Schizosaccharomyces pombe: one gene and its partners. The protein of the gene in region 1 purifies or fractionates together with the protein of each later gene. This does not show direct contact. Each region holds a gene or a part of one and is shown on either strand. Other genes may lie near its edges. The genes, in order: pir2, cbc1 and iss10.

Region 1 (3,757 bases):
CTATTGACGAAACTGAGTTGGCTAAGAAATTTGAGGAAGCTTCTCAAATCTCCAATAAATTAGAGAAGGAAAAGGATGCTACTGGAAGTAAATCAATTGAGGAGCTATGGGAAGAGCATCAAAAGCAATTGAAAAACGCCGGGCTAGAGCCCGCAAGTTTAGAGGAATACCAGAAACAATGGGAAGATTTTTTAAAGTCAAACAATATTTCTGACGATCCTTACACTTCGTCTGTGAATAGCTTTGCTAATGATAATTTAGCTCATAATAAAAACATAGATCCTCAAATTTTCCAGCATAGCGATACTGATAACGTTGTTGAAAACTCTTTACAAACGGAAGATGTATATTCACAGAACCAAGATGAATCTTCAGAGGTTGTGAAAGAGCTAAACGGAATAGATCCATTTGTTGAAGCCATGAATTTAATAAAAAATGGAGGATCTATCTCGAAAGCAGCTGTGTTATTGGAACAATCTGTGAAAGAGAATCCACAGCACTTCGAGGCCTGGAAATGGTTAGGTCGCATTCATACTCTATTGGGAAACGAATCGCGGGTTGTTGAAGCCCTACTTGAAGCTGTCAAATTGGATTCAACCAATCTTGACTTAATGATGGATCTTGCTGTGTCTTATGTTAATCAGTCTCTAAATGTTCAGGCATTGGTTTGCTTAGAAGACTGGATAGTCAACAGTTTTCCCCAATACCGAAACAGGTTTGCAAAGATAAACGAAAGGTTTGAAGAGAAAGATTCTGCTAACGATCTCTTGAAAATGCAGATGTATTTCTTGGATGTAGCTTATGAGTTATCACTTGCTAAGAAGCGTTCCTCCAAGGTACAAGCTGGATTAGGAATAATTATGTATATGTTGAAGGAGTATGAGCGTTCTGCAGATTGTTTTCGGCAAGCTCTTCAAGACGAACCAAGTAACGAAATATTGTGGAATAAGCTTGGTGCTGCTTTAACAAATGCAGAAAAAAATACTGAAGCTGTTTCTTCCTATAATCGGGCAGTATCTCTACAGCCCCAGTATGTTCGAGTTCGCTCAAACATGGCTGTTTCCAACATCAATTTAGGATACTTTGAAGATGCTGCAAAACATCTACTTGCTGCAATTGATATTATACAAAACAGTTCTACCTCAATGGAGAGCTGCGAATCAAATGAGGAACTTTGGGAAATGCTTCGCAAAGTATTTTTGATTGGATTCCAAAGTACTGATCTTGCCTCTCAGTCCTATCCTGGAGCAAACACTAGTTATATACGAGCCCAGTTAAGTGATCTCCAAGGTTGGCCCGGTGTTGAGCTCGAATAAATCTCTTAAAGCAAACGTGCTTAATTCATTTTTCATGTTATTATTTATTTGGTTGTTTTTTTTTTTAAATTTTTTGTCTGAGGCATATCTTTTAGAGGACGTGCAAAAGCTACTTTTTTTTTGTTGCACAAGAAATGAGATAACTTACGCTTCAATATCTGAAGCAGAGAACAAAAGTAAAAGAAATCTTACTCTATGCTACCAAAGTTACTATTGGTATGCAAGTTGTACCTTTCTTGACCGTTTATACAATGGAAATTAGATCTTCAGTGATTTGAAAACAGATGTTATTGTTTACTTTTGTGAGAGTGCTTCTAAGCTCTTTGTAAGCACAGTTTTTTAAGTAATCCAACATTGTATTTATTGACGATAATGAGACAATGTTTAGTATTAATTGTTCAATAGCATTCGCATAAAATTCGAAGTCTCACTTTTTTGTTTAATCATTTGCTTTTATAATCTCAGTTTATTTAGATATACTGATGCGTATAATAAAGTATTTGACAATTTTCTATATTTTGAATAATGAAACTTAGTGTACCAGCATAAAGTGCTGTATGGATATTTCTCTCTCGTAAGAACATTCTTCAACTAAGCAGGTTGAGTACCAATTTTGACCCAATTGAAATCATTAGTTTTTTAATAAATTAATCCCGATTGCTGGTATTTATAGAAGGGGAACAGTGTCAAAATATGAGTGAGGTCCATCAAGAAAGTGAAGTAGAGTACAGTCGTTGGAAAAGAGAACGCTCTCCTGGTAAGTTGTTAATGTTTAGTTTGATAGAAATACTCATCCTTTTTTTGCATAGAACGGAGTCAAAGACGTTCACAGAGCCCCCCTGGTGAACAGTCTGCGTATCATCGAGAACGGTCTCCTCTACGAAAGCGTGGTAATTACTATGATGATAGAACAAGAGGTAAGAATAAATATAAAATTCTATGAATTGACCTATTAACTACAATACGTCTAGCTTCTGGACCTTACCCTACATTTACTAAACCGTAAGTTACGACTAAATAAATACTCTACTCGATGTGAGTGAAAAACCAAAGTTTTCTAACAAGGAGACTAGTTTAATTGATCCATATACTCAAACAAATGCGGTTTCTTATGAACGGTTTATTCGGTGGTATAGCAAGGAAAACCATATATCCGCAACAACTGAAGACTTATACAACTCGCTTCATGGAACTTACAACAATTATAAACAGGATCTATACGCTAGGACCGCAAGAAGTTTTGTTGAGAGCCATTGTGACGAAGCTTGGTTTGAAGACAGCTATTGGGTGGACGAGTCACAAGGAAGAGTCCTTGAAGTGTCTGAAAATGAGAAATCTTATCGCCGGGCGTTATACGATAAATTCATGGACAGATTAGACGCCGGTTATTATGATGATTTTCAGCTTCCAACCGCTGAGGATGTAATCGAAAAGCCGTCAATACCTGATAATGATACAGATGACTCAATTCTTCCTTCTAACGACCCGCAACTTTCCAAATGGAACCAAGACTCTCGAAACGATGCAATGGAAAATACACTATTGGTCAGTCATGTTTTGCCCAACATCTCGGTTGCGCAAATTCATAATGCACTCGATGGTATTTCGTTCGTACAACATTTTTCCCTTTCTACTATTAATTTAATCAAGAATGATGAACGCTCACTTTGGGTTCATTTCAAAGCAGGAACAAATATGGATGGAGCTAAAGAAGCGGTGGATGGGATTCAATTGGATTCAAATTTTACTATTGAATCTGAAAATCCAAAAATTCCTACTCACACGCATCCCATACCTATTTTTGAAATCGCTTCTTCTGAGCAGACATGTAAAAATTTGCTAGAAAAACTAATCCGTTTTATAGATCGGGCTAGTACGAAGTATAGTTTACCAAATGATGCTGCACAACGTATCGAAGATCGATTGAAAACACATGCATCTATGAAAGATGACGATGATAAGCCGACGAATTTTCATGACATTCGTTTAAGTGATCTGTACGCCGAGTATCTTCGCCAAGTGGCTACTTTTGATTTCTGGACTAGTAAAGAGTACGAAAGTTTAATTGCTTTACTGCAGGATAGTCCTGCAGGTTACTCGCGGAAAAAGTTTAATCCATCCAAAGAAGTCGGTCAAGAAGAAAATATTTGGTTGTCAGATTTGGAAAACAATTTTGCTTGCCTTCTTGAGCCTGAAAATGTGGATATTAAAGCAAAAGGGGCATTACCCGTTGAAGATTTTATTAATAACGAATTGGACTCTGTTATTATGAAAGAAGATGAACAAAAATATAGGTGTCATGTCGGAACATGCGCGAAGCTTTTCTTAGGACCTGAGTTTGTCAGAAAGCATATAAATAAAAAGCATAAGGATTGGTTGGATCACATTAAAAAGGTGGCTATATGTCTCTATGGATATGTGCTTGACCCATGTAGGGCTAT
Region 2 (3,757 bases), on another chromosome or scaffold:
AAATAATATGTAAACTATCTGAAGAATGTGAATCTGGCATTTCAAAAATTTAAAAATCCGTTTGTTTATGCGAACTTGACTTTATAGATTAGGAGGAGTATTTTGTAATTTTTTTCCTTTTTTACAATCGTTTGGTATTCATGAAAGAATCGTATATCTCGCCATAGCAATTTATGAAAGGCATTCTGAATGGCAAAAACTGTTGAATATTGAACCGTTTTGTTATTATTATTATTGCTATTTATTTTATTCTCAAAATGGTAAAAAAATAAGAGAGATTGAAGGAAATACTGGTGAGGATAACGTAATGTTTAGAAGCGTTACAGCAAGATGATTGTGTTTCAAGTCAACTTTCCAACTTCAAATATGAGCGCTACAAGTAGAGAAGGAAATAAGACAAAGATAGGAATAGTAGGAGGTAATTTTGGAGAACAACAGTTTCATAAATGATGAGTGAGCATGCTGACGATGATTTTTAGGTGGCATTATTGGAATTTGTACGGCGTTTTACTTAACAGAAGAACAAGAATACAAAAAAGGAGAATTGGACATATTTATATTTGAATCAAAAGAAATAGCAGGAGGTAGCTCCGGCATTGATTCTGCAATCTTGACAAAACTGTGCCAGAATGAAATCATACAGCCACTTTCAACTCTCGCTTTGAAGCTTTATGAAGGATTGGATAAAAAATTTGATGGGAAGAAAAACTGGGAATATAGGACTGCCAATTCTTGGTTTTGTAAGATGAAATGGGACAATACCAATGTTGCCAAAGTTCCCGATACTTTGCAATGGCTTCAACGAGAGCGCATGCAAAAATGTAAGCTCATAAGTGCTACCAAAAAAAAATAATAACTTTATTGTATAAGTCATATAGAGACTAACCATTTAGGTTCTAGTATCGGTTCCGGCAACGATTTTGCAATGATCAATCCAAAATTGTTTTGTCAATTTATGGCAAAAGAAATAGAAAAACGAGGAGTAAAGTTTATATTTGGAAGTGTGAAAGAGGTTAGTAAACACCATATTACATACGTTCCAAAACAAGAAGCTGAAGATACAATAATAAAAGCACAGGTGCATAAAACGCTGGTGAGTGCTGGGCCTTGGACTGGTTATCTATTACCATTTACTGGTATTGCAGGTCTATGCATTCCCATAATTCACCTATCGGTAGGAAATTTTCCCGTTGGCGACAGCATTGTTGTGTGTTGTTTAAATACCATGGGTAATCTAAACATTTGCAAAACAACCGAAATTTTCAGTAAAAACCGGGAGCAGCTTATTTTTATGGGAACTCCAAAATTCCATTTGCTGCCAAAAGATAGTAATCGATGTTTTTTTAATCCTTTTGAAATTATCGAATTGAAAGAAATGACCGATTTGGTGCTCTCGGAGAATACGAAGAGTAACTACTTAGACGCATCTTTTAAGTTCCTTCCTACCAGTAGAATAACAGGTATCCCGATAATATCAACAACCAAGTCTGGTGTATTTGTTGCAGCGGGTCACGCCAACTGGGGGATAACTCAAGCTCCTGCCACGGGTTTATGTATGGCAGAAATGCTCCTTGGCAAGGAAAAAACAAGCATAAACACAGATCCTTTTCACTTAAATCTCGGTGAATGAGGATTTCAAATTATATCCTCTAATTTTTGTTTTAATTGTTTGTCAAAAAAAACGAAGGACTCATTCACTGAAAGGTGAAAATATAGAAGCAGAATGGATGCTTATTCCTTTACCGAAATAGAATATTACAGTGTTGTAAAATTTTCTAATCATATTTATTAAGGTTTTCGTTTTTATCGCATTGGAAAATCGATTTTCTTTTTTTTTGTTTTACAATTTCCATCTCGACTTAGTATACCATTCGTTACCTCTAAGTTGATTGTTACTTGAGAACACTTGCTCGTGTTTTTACAATTCTGCTATACGCCAACAACAGTAAGACACTAACATTCCTCACAAAATGTCTTCTTATCGGGGATCAACTCGACCCAGAAAGAGGACGAGAGAGGGAGAGAATTATGGATTTCGTCCCCATAGAGGAAACTCTCAAGAGCTACTTGCAGCGCGTATAAAAAAGGATATTACCTTTTTGGCGGATCCTCGAGGAAATTCAGTAGCTGCTGATGACATTAATTATGTTGCTATGTCTCTTAGTCGTGAAGCTAATGATCCTGAAACCATTTCAACTATCTTAGATTGCATTCAGACAACGTAAGTGATAATTTATACTGTCCCTTCAGAAAACTAATTTAATCCTTAGTGCATTTATCATTCCAGTCAAAATACCTCATTTGGCTACATTAATTATAAGAGCCTCATTAAGGGTTCCTTTAATCTTAGAAAAAGCAGCTGCGTATTTTTGTTTACAGTATTTTACGAATTTAAACTCCTTTCTTTATTACGAGGCTAAAGTCGATCTACGAATGCTCATTTGCATGTCATTTGCACTTCAACCAGGTACCCTTAAGCCACTATTTTCATTACTGGCTGACGCTATCTCAAAAGAAACCAAACCCAGTGTCTGGGGAGATAATTTCCTGCGCATAATTTTGATAAACCTTCCATATTTCATCGCAGCTAACAACGATCTCGGTAAAAAGGATTTTGCTAATGAGATACTGGATCAATGTGAGATTTACGTTCGTCATAGGAAATCTTCGATAACTCTAAGTAATCCCCTTTCAATACATGACAATCTTTCAGAGGAGGAATTGGACTTACTCTATAAACAACTAATTCTATCTCGGGAAAACGACTTTACTTTTCCTTATATATCTCAACCCTGGAAGTTTTTTGAATCTGATTTCGTTCATATTGTTCCGGTTAGCCCAAGTATTCCTGAATGGACGTTTCAGCCCACTCCTCAGCAAAATGAGCTACCTTCCTTCAAGAGATTTTTTGAGCTTTTTAATAACTTTGAAATTCGCACGACTCCTGACGCTTCCGACGTTGCAGCCAGCATATTTCGTGATATAAGTGTGGATGTTATAAACCATTTGGAATTTAACCGAGTTGAGGCTGCTCAAGTTCTTACAGATTTAGATGTTTATTTTACCTACAAAACTTTTGCTCTTCGTGGTACTCCAGTAAATGAATTACCAAATTTAGATCCATCGGAATCACGTTGGAAAGCAGAAGATATCATAGTTGAAGCTGTTTTGGGTGAGCTTCTTGGTTCACAGAATACTACGTATAAACCTGTCTATTATCATTCGCTTTTGATTGAATGCTGCCGTATCGCTCCTAAAATTTTGGCTCCAACTTTTGGAAGGGTCATTCGGCTAATGTATACCATGTCTTCTGATTTACCTTTACAAACACTTGATCGATTTATTGACTGGTTTTCACATCACCTTAGTAATTTCAACTTTCACTGGAAGTGGAATGAGTGGATTCCTGACGTTGAGCTGGACGATCTTCATCCAAAAAAAGTTTTTATGCGGGAAACTATTACTAGGGAACTTATTTTAAGCTATTACACAAGAATTTCTGACTCACTCCCTGAAGAGTTACGTTGTTTGCTTGGCGAACAACCGTCGGGTCCCAATTTCGTGTACGAAAATGAGACTCATCCGCTATATCAACAGTCAAGTCAAATTATCGAAGCATTGAGATTACATAAACCGTTAGAAGAACTTGACATTATTTTGCAGAGCGAGGAGATTCAAAACTCCGAGACATCTGCTGTCCGATTAGTTATGTCTTGTGCTTATAGCTTGGGTTCGAGATCGTTTTCGCACGCATTGA
Region 3 (3,757 bases), on another chromosome or scaffold:
ACATGTAACGCTCAAGTAAAGCACAATTTCCTCCATTTTTAAGATTTACTGCGAACCGATAATAGTGTCCTGAATAAGAAGCTACTTGTATGTGCGGACCGCTGCTCGAAAAAATTATTTTTCCATAGAAAGAAGCTTCAGGAATCTTAGCAGTTGCAAATTCTTTCCTAGTGTCCCAAACTTTTGCTACATTTGAAGTTAAATATTTTGACCAAGAAGATGACACAGTTACGGAAGATGTAGGAGACGAATTCGGATCCGATGGTTGCTTAGAGATTTTGAAAACGTGAATAGTACCATTTTCAGAAGCACAAGCCAGAAAAGGCTCAACTGGGTGAAATGAGATAGATACAATGGATGCAGGTATATATCCCCTGCGCAATTCTGTCACCAATTCACCATCACTAGTTGTTATAACACGGATTACAGTTCCCTTTGCGGATGCAGTCGCAATCAAATGTCCACGCGGATGAAAGTCAACTACTTGGACAGCGGAAGAATGGCAATGAATCAATGTGACGGGTATTGCAGTATCCAATGAGGCTAAATAAATATCACCAGGGTTGGTCGGTGAATTATATGCAACATAATTCTCATGAACAGCAAAAGCTATAACATTTCCTTTCGAGGTATTTAGAGTATTAATTAATTCCATGTTTTTTAGATTATATACGTAAATACTCCCTTTAATTAAAACAACTAAACGATTCCATGTGAAACGTACACTTAGCACAGGACTCGGATAAAATATTCGGCATAAAACGATATCTCTCTAAAAATATGGGTTAAAATTAAGAAATCAATGCAGAATCTCAGTTAACTAATTACCTTGATGTCAACCAATTTTAGTAACCTCGTCGACTCAGGGGAAATATTCACGAAAGCAAGTAGAGAAGATTCATAAAGCATTTCACAAATACTTGCCCCATTGGCTTCTACAATCAGTAAGTTATAAGTCGTGTAAGATGGGCTTGTGTTTCCACTTCTCGGAAATTCATTGACAGCTTACTTTTTGAAAAGCACAGGGTAAACGGATTGGAGCGATAAACTTGATAGCCATTCTCAGAACCAATTGATAAAAAGCTAAATTTAGCAGTCAGTACAAAGATTGCACAAAATCTATTTTATGTGTGCCACTTACCCACGATCTTGATTCCACGAACAGTAAAGGATAATCGATGGCATTTCTCTTAAATCGACTGTTAATTTATTTAGTAGTTCACATTCACCCCTGTCTTAATACAATTGCTGATCACGTTCAATGGTAAAAGTAAAACAGATTTGTGCTAAGGCAGTGTGCGTAATTGAAGCAAAAAATAATGTGATTCGTACAATGCAAAAGCTTAACTTTGTAGTATCCAGAATATAAAAGAACCCATTTGAGCCTTTAGCAATTTTGATTAATGAATGTTTTTGTTATGTTTGTATTATGCAAGATAATATATACAGTGGTGCAGCGCTCCTTAATGGTCACCTCTACGCACATTCAAGAGCGTATATCTTGGCAACATCCAAATGTTGAATAAAACTTTTTTTGGGAATTCATGAATTTTTATTGTTTTGGTTAAATTTAAATATTAATGGATGCCGTTGAACCTTCTGTGGAGAAGGAATACAAAAAAATAATTTCTTTTAGAGATACTGTGTTTGAAGGGAAACATCAACAATTTTTGGTTCCGAACAATGTTCGTTTAAAATTTTTAAGAGATAGATTACATAAATCTTTAAAAAATTTTGATTCTGTTAAACGGAAAGTCGAAATTGCAAATGATGAAGGTAATAACAAACTCCTGAAATCATCACCCAAAGCACAAACCAGAGATGAAAATACTCCTTCTGAATTTAAGAATGGAGGTTTTAGTAACAGAGAATCTATGTCCGAAAACTGTTTTTCTAAATCATCTACTAATTTACCACGGCTAGACATTAACCGTGATTTTAATTCCTTACTTAATAGTCAAACAAAACCTGAAGCCACTGGTTTGATGAAAGAGGATATTACTCCCGTTGTAAACACTAGCAAACAATCTTCTACTGGGACTCAAGAGGAGTCCTCAAAACCGGAAAAATCTAATAAATTGTTAGCAAAGAGTACTTTATCTTTGTATGGGAATCAAGCTTTTAATCCTTCTTCAGTTCTTCCTAGCAATTCTTCATCAACGCCTAAGGAAAATAAAAAAAATGTGAATAAAGAGACATATCAACCGAACACTTTTCGCCGTAGTCCGTTGAAAAATGATACTGGATCAGTGGAGTTATCAAACCTGTATATGCCGTCTCCACCATCATCTGCGCTTCCCGTATCGCTTGTGTCAGCTCCTTCTCCTCCGAGGGCAACTAACGTTGCAGTCCCGTGTCTTAAACATTTGGAATCGAGTGAGCAGGGCAATAACCTACTTATTAACAAAGCTTTTACTTCTCCTCGCCTTCCTTCACCTCCCCAGTCAACAAGACCTAGCTCTACTAGGTTTCCTTCGGTTCCTTTATCAGATGAAAAAAACTCAATTGTCTCCGTAAAAAACGAAGAGCCGTCTGTCATTCTGGGAAATCAATCACCAATTTCGGATTTGCATCCGTATTCTCCATCTTGGATCCCCTATCCAAAGGAATTGCAATCGCTACAAGTCAATCGAATACCTGAGTTGTCCTTGGAGAACAATGTCATGTCAACTCGGGATTATAAGGATATAATGCCTCACCCTCGTCCTTCTGCTGTCCTTTTAGATAAACCGGTTTCTTTAGATCAAACTTCTCATCCTTTCCCTCATCAAAATACTTATATTCTACCTCCGGGGATAAGGAATTCTGTAGACTATGACGGCACTTTTCTTTCCCGTAAATCGCTTCCTCCTTATAATGGCATTCATCGTCTTCATGAGAGCCCTTCTCAGTTTTCAAATCAATCAAGATATAATTGGGAGCCAATTTTAGAAAATCGCTCCCTGCTCCATTTGAATCGTCCGCCTCCTATTGAAACGCACTATTCATACGAATCTAACAATTCATCGTTTTCTCCGTATTACCATAAACGGCATAGACAGATTTCTCCATACTACCCCACTTCCTCAGTTTATGGAGTTTATGAAAGTCCGCCTCACATGTCTGATTCTCGTATTTCTCGGCAGCATATGCCTTTAACGCATACTACTTATGAGCCTTCTGCGCCTTATTATAACGACTATGAATTAGCAGAGGAAATTGAGAGGCGTCGTCATCATAGCTTTTATGATTATTAGCTATACTCTTCCGTAAGTGCGCGCAACAATTTAAAAATTGCTTGGCGGAATATTTGAATTTGCATGTTTTTGTTTTAACTTATAAAGAAAATTAAGTACCTTTAGTACTGGTAATGTTTGATGTACATTTATTATAGTAGATAGAATATTCATGTTGCATAAATTGGTTTCGCACTTTCAGTTAACATTTTCAAATTCATTTATACATAAATACTTTTTTAGATGATTAATAAGAGGCGTTTCATAAATAGTATAAGTACTTTGTAAGCCTATTCTAATGGATGTGAATAAACAAAGAGACTATGGATTATGTGAATAGTTATATTACTTTCTTATTCGATAATCAAATTTTAAAGCTCCCAAATGCAAGATTATTGAAGAAATTTTGAAAAAGTTTCTTTAGTTAACATTAGCATGTAAAAGACACATAAACCCTAATTGACTGTAACATAAGAGACCTTTTACTTACGTCTACAGCGATTATTCTACTGGACTTAATAAAAGCAAAATTCGGACGGTCG

Evidence for each region.
Region 2: the proteins of pir2 (region 1) and cbc1 purify together in Schizosaccharomyces pombe (affinity purification with mass spectrometry; 2 studies listed by BioGRID, with this or other methods). This does not show direct contact.
Region 3: the proteins of pir2 (region 1) and iss10 purify together in Schizosaccharomyces pombe (affinity purification with mass spectrometry; 2 studies listed by BioGRID). This does not show direct contact.

What each region holds. Positions count from the first base shown.
Region 1 is NC_003423.3:1,217,500-1,221,256, forward strand, and holds the start of pir2 (C2H2-type zinc finger domain-containing protein), read left to right. Parts: upstream 1-1,905; 5' UTR 1,906-2,009; coding exon 2,010-2,073; intron 2,074-2,125; coding exon 2,126-2,233; intron 2,234-2,287; coding exon 2,288-2,318; intron 2,319-2,389; coding exon 2,390-3,757. Other genes in the region: peroxisomal targeting signal receptor Pex5, read left to right, coding at 1-1,316.
Region 2 is NC_003424.3:3,226,563-3,230,319, forward strand, and holds the start of cbc1 (nuclear cap-binding complex large subunit), read left to right. Parts: upstream 1-1,947; 5' UTR 1,948-1,970; coding exon 1,971-2,221; exon of another isoform or gene 2,222-2,270; coding exon 2,271-3,757. Other genes in the region: tda3 (FAD-dependent amino acid oxidase), read left to right, coding at 367-418, 480-821, 894-1,630. UniProt on the Schizosaccharomyces pombe protein: Component of the CBC complex, which binds cotranscriptionally to the 5'-cap of pre-mRNAs and is involved in maturation, export and degradation of nuclear mRNAs.
Region 3 is NC_003424.3:2,609,520-2,613,276, forward strand, and holds iss10 (protein Iss10), read left to right. Parts: upstream 1-1,506; 5' UTR 1,507-1,580; coding exon 1,581-3,236; 3' UTR 3,237-3,483; downstream 3,484-3,757. Other genes in the region: phosphatidylinositol-3,5-bisphosphate binding protein Atg1802, read right to left, coding at 3-772, 829-935, 1,010-1,083, 1,142-1,185.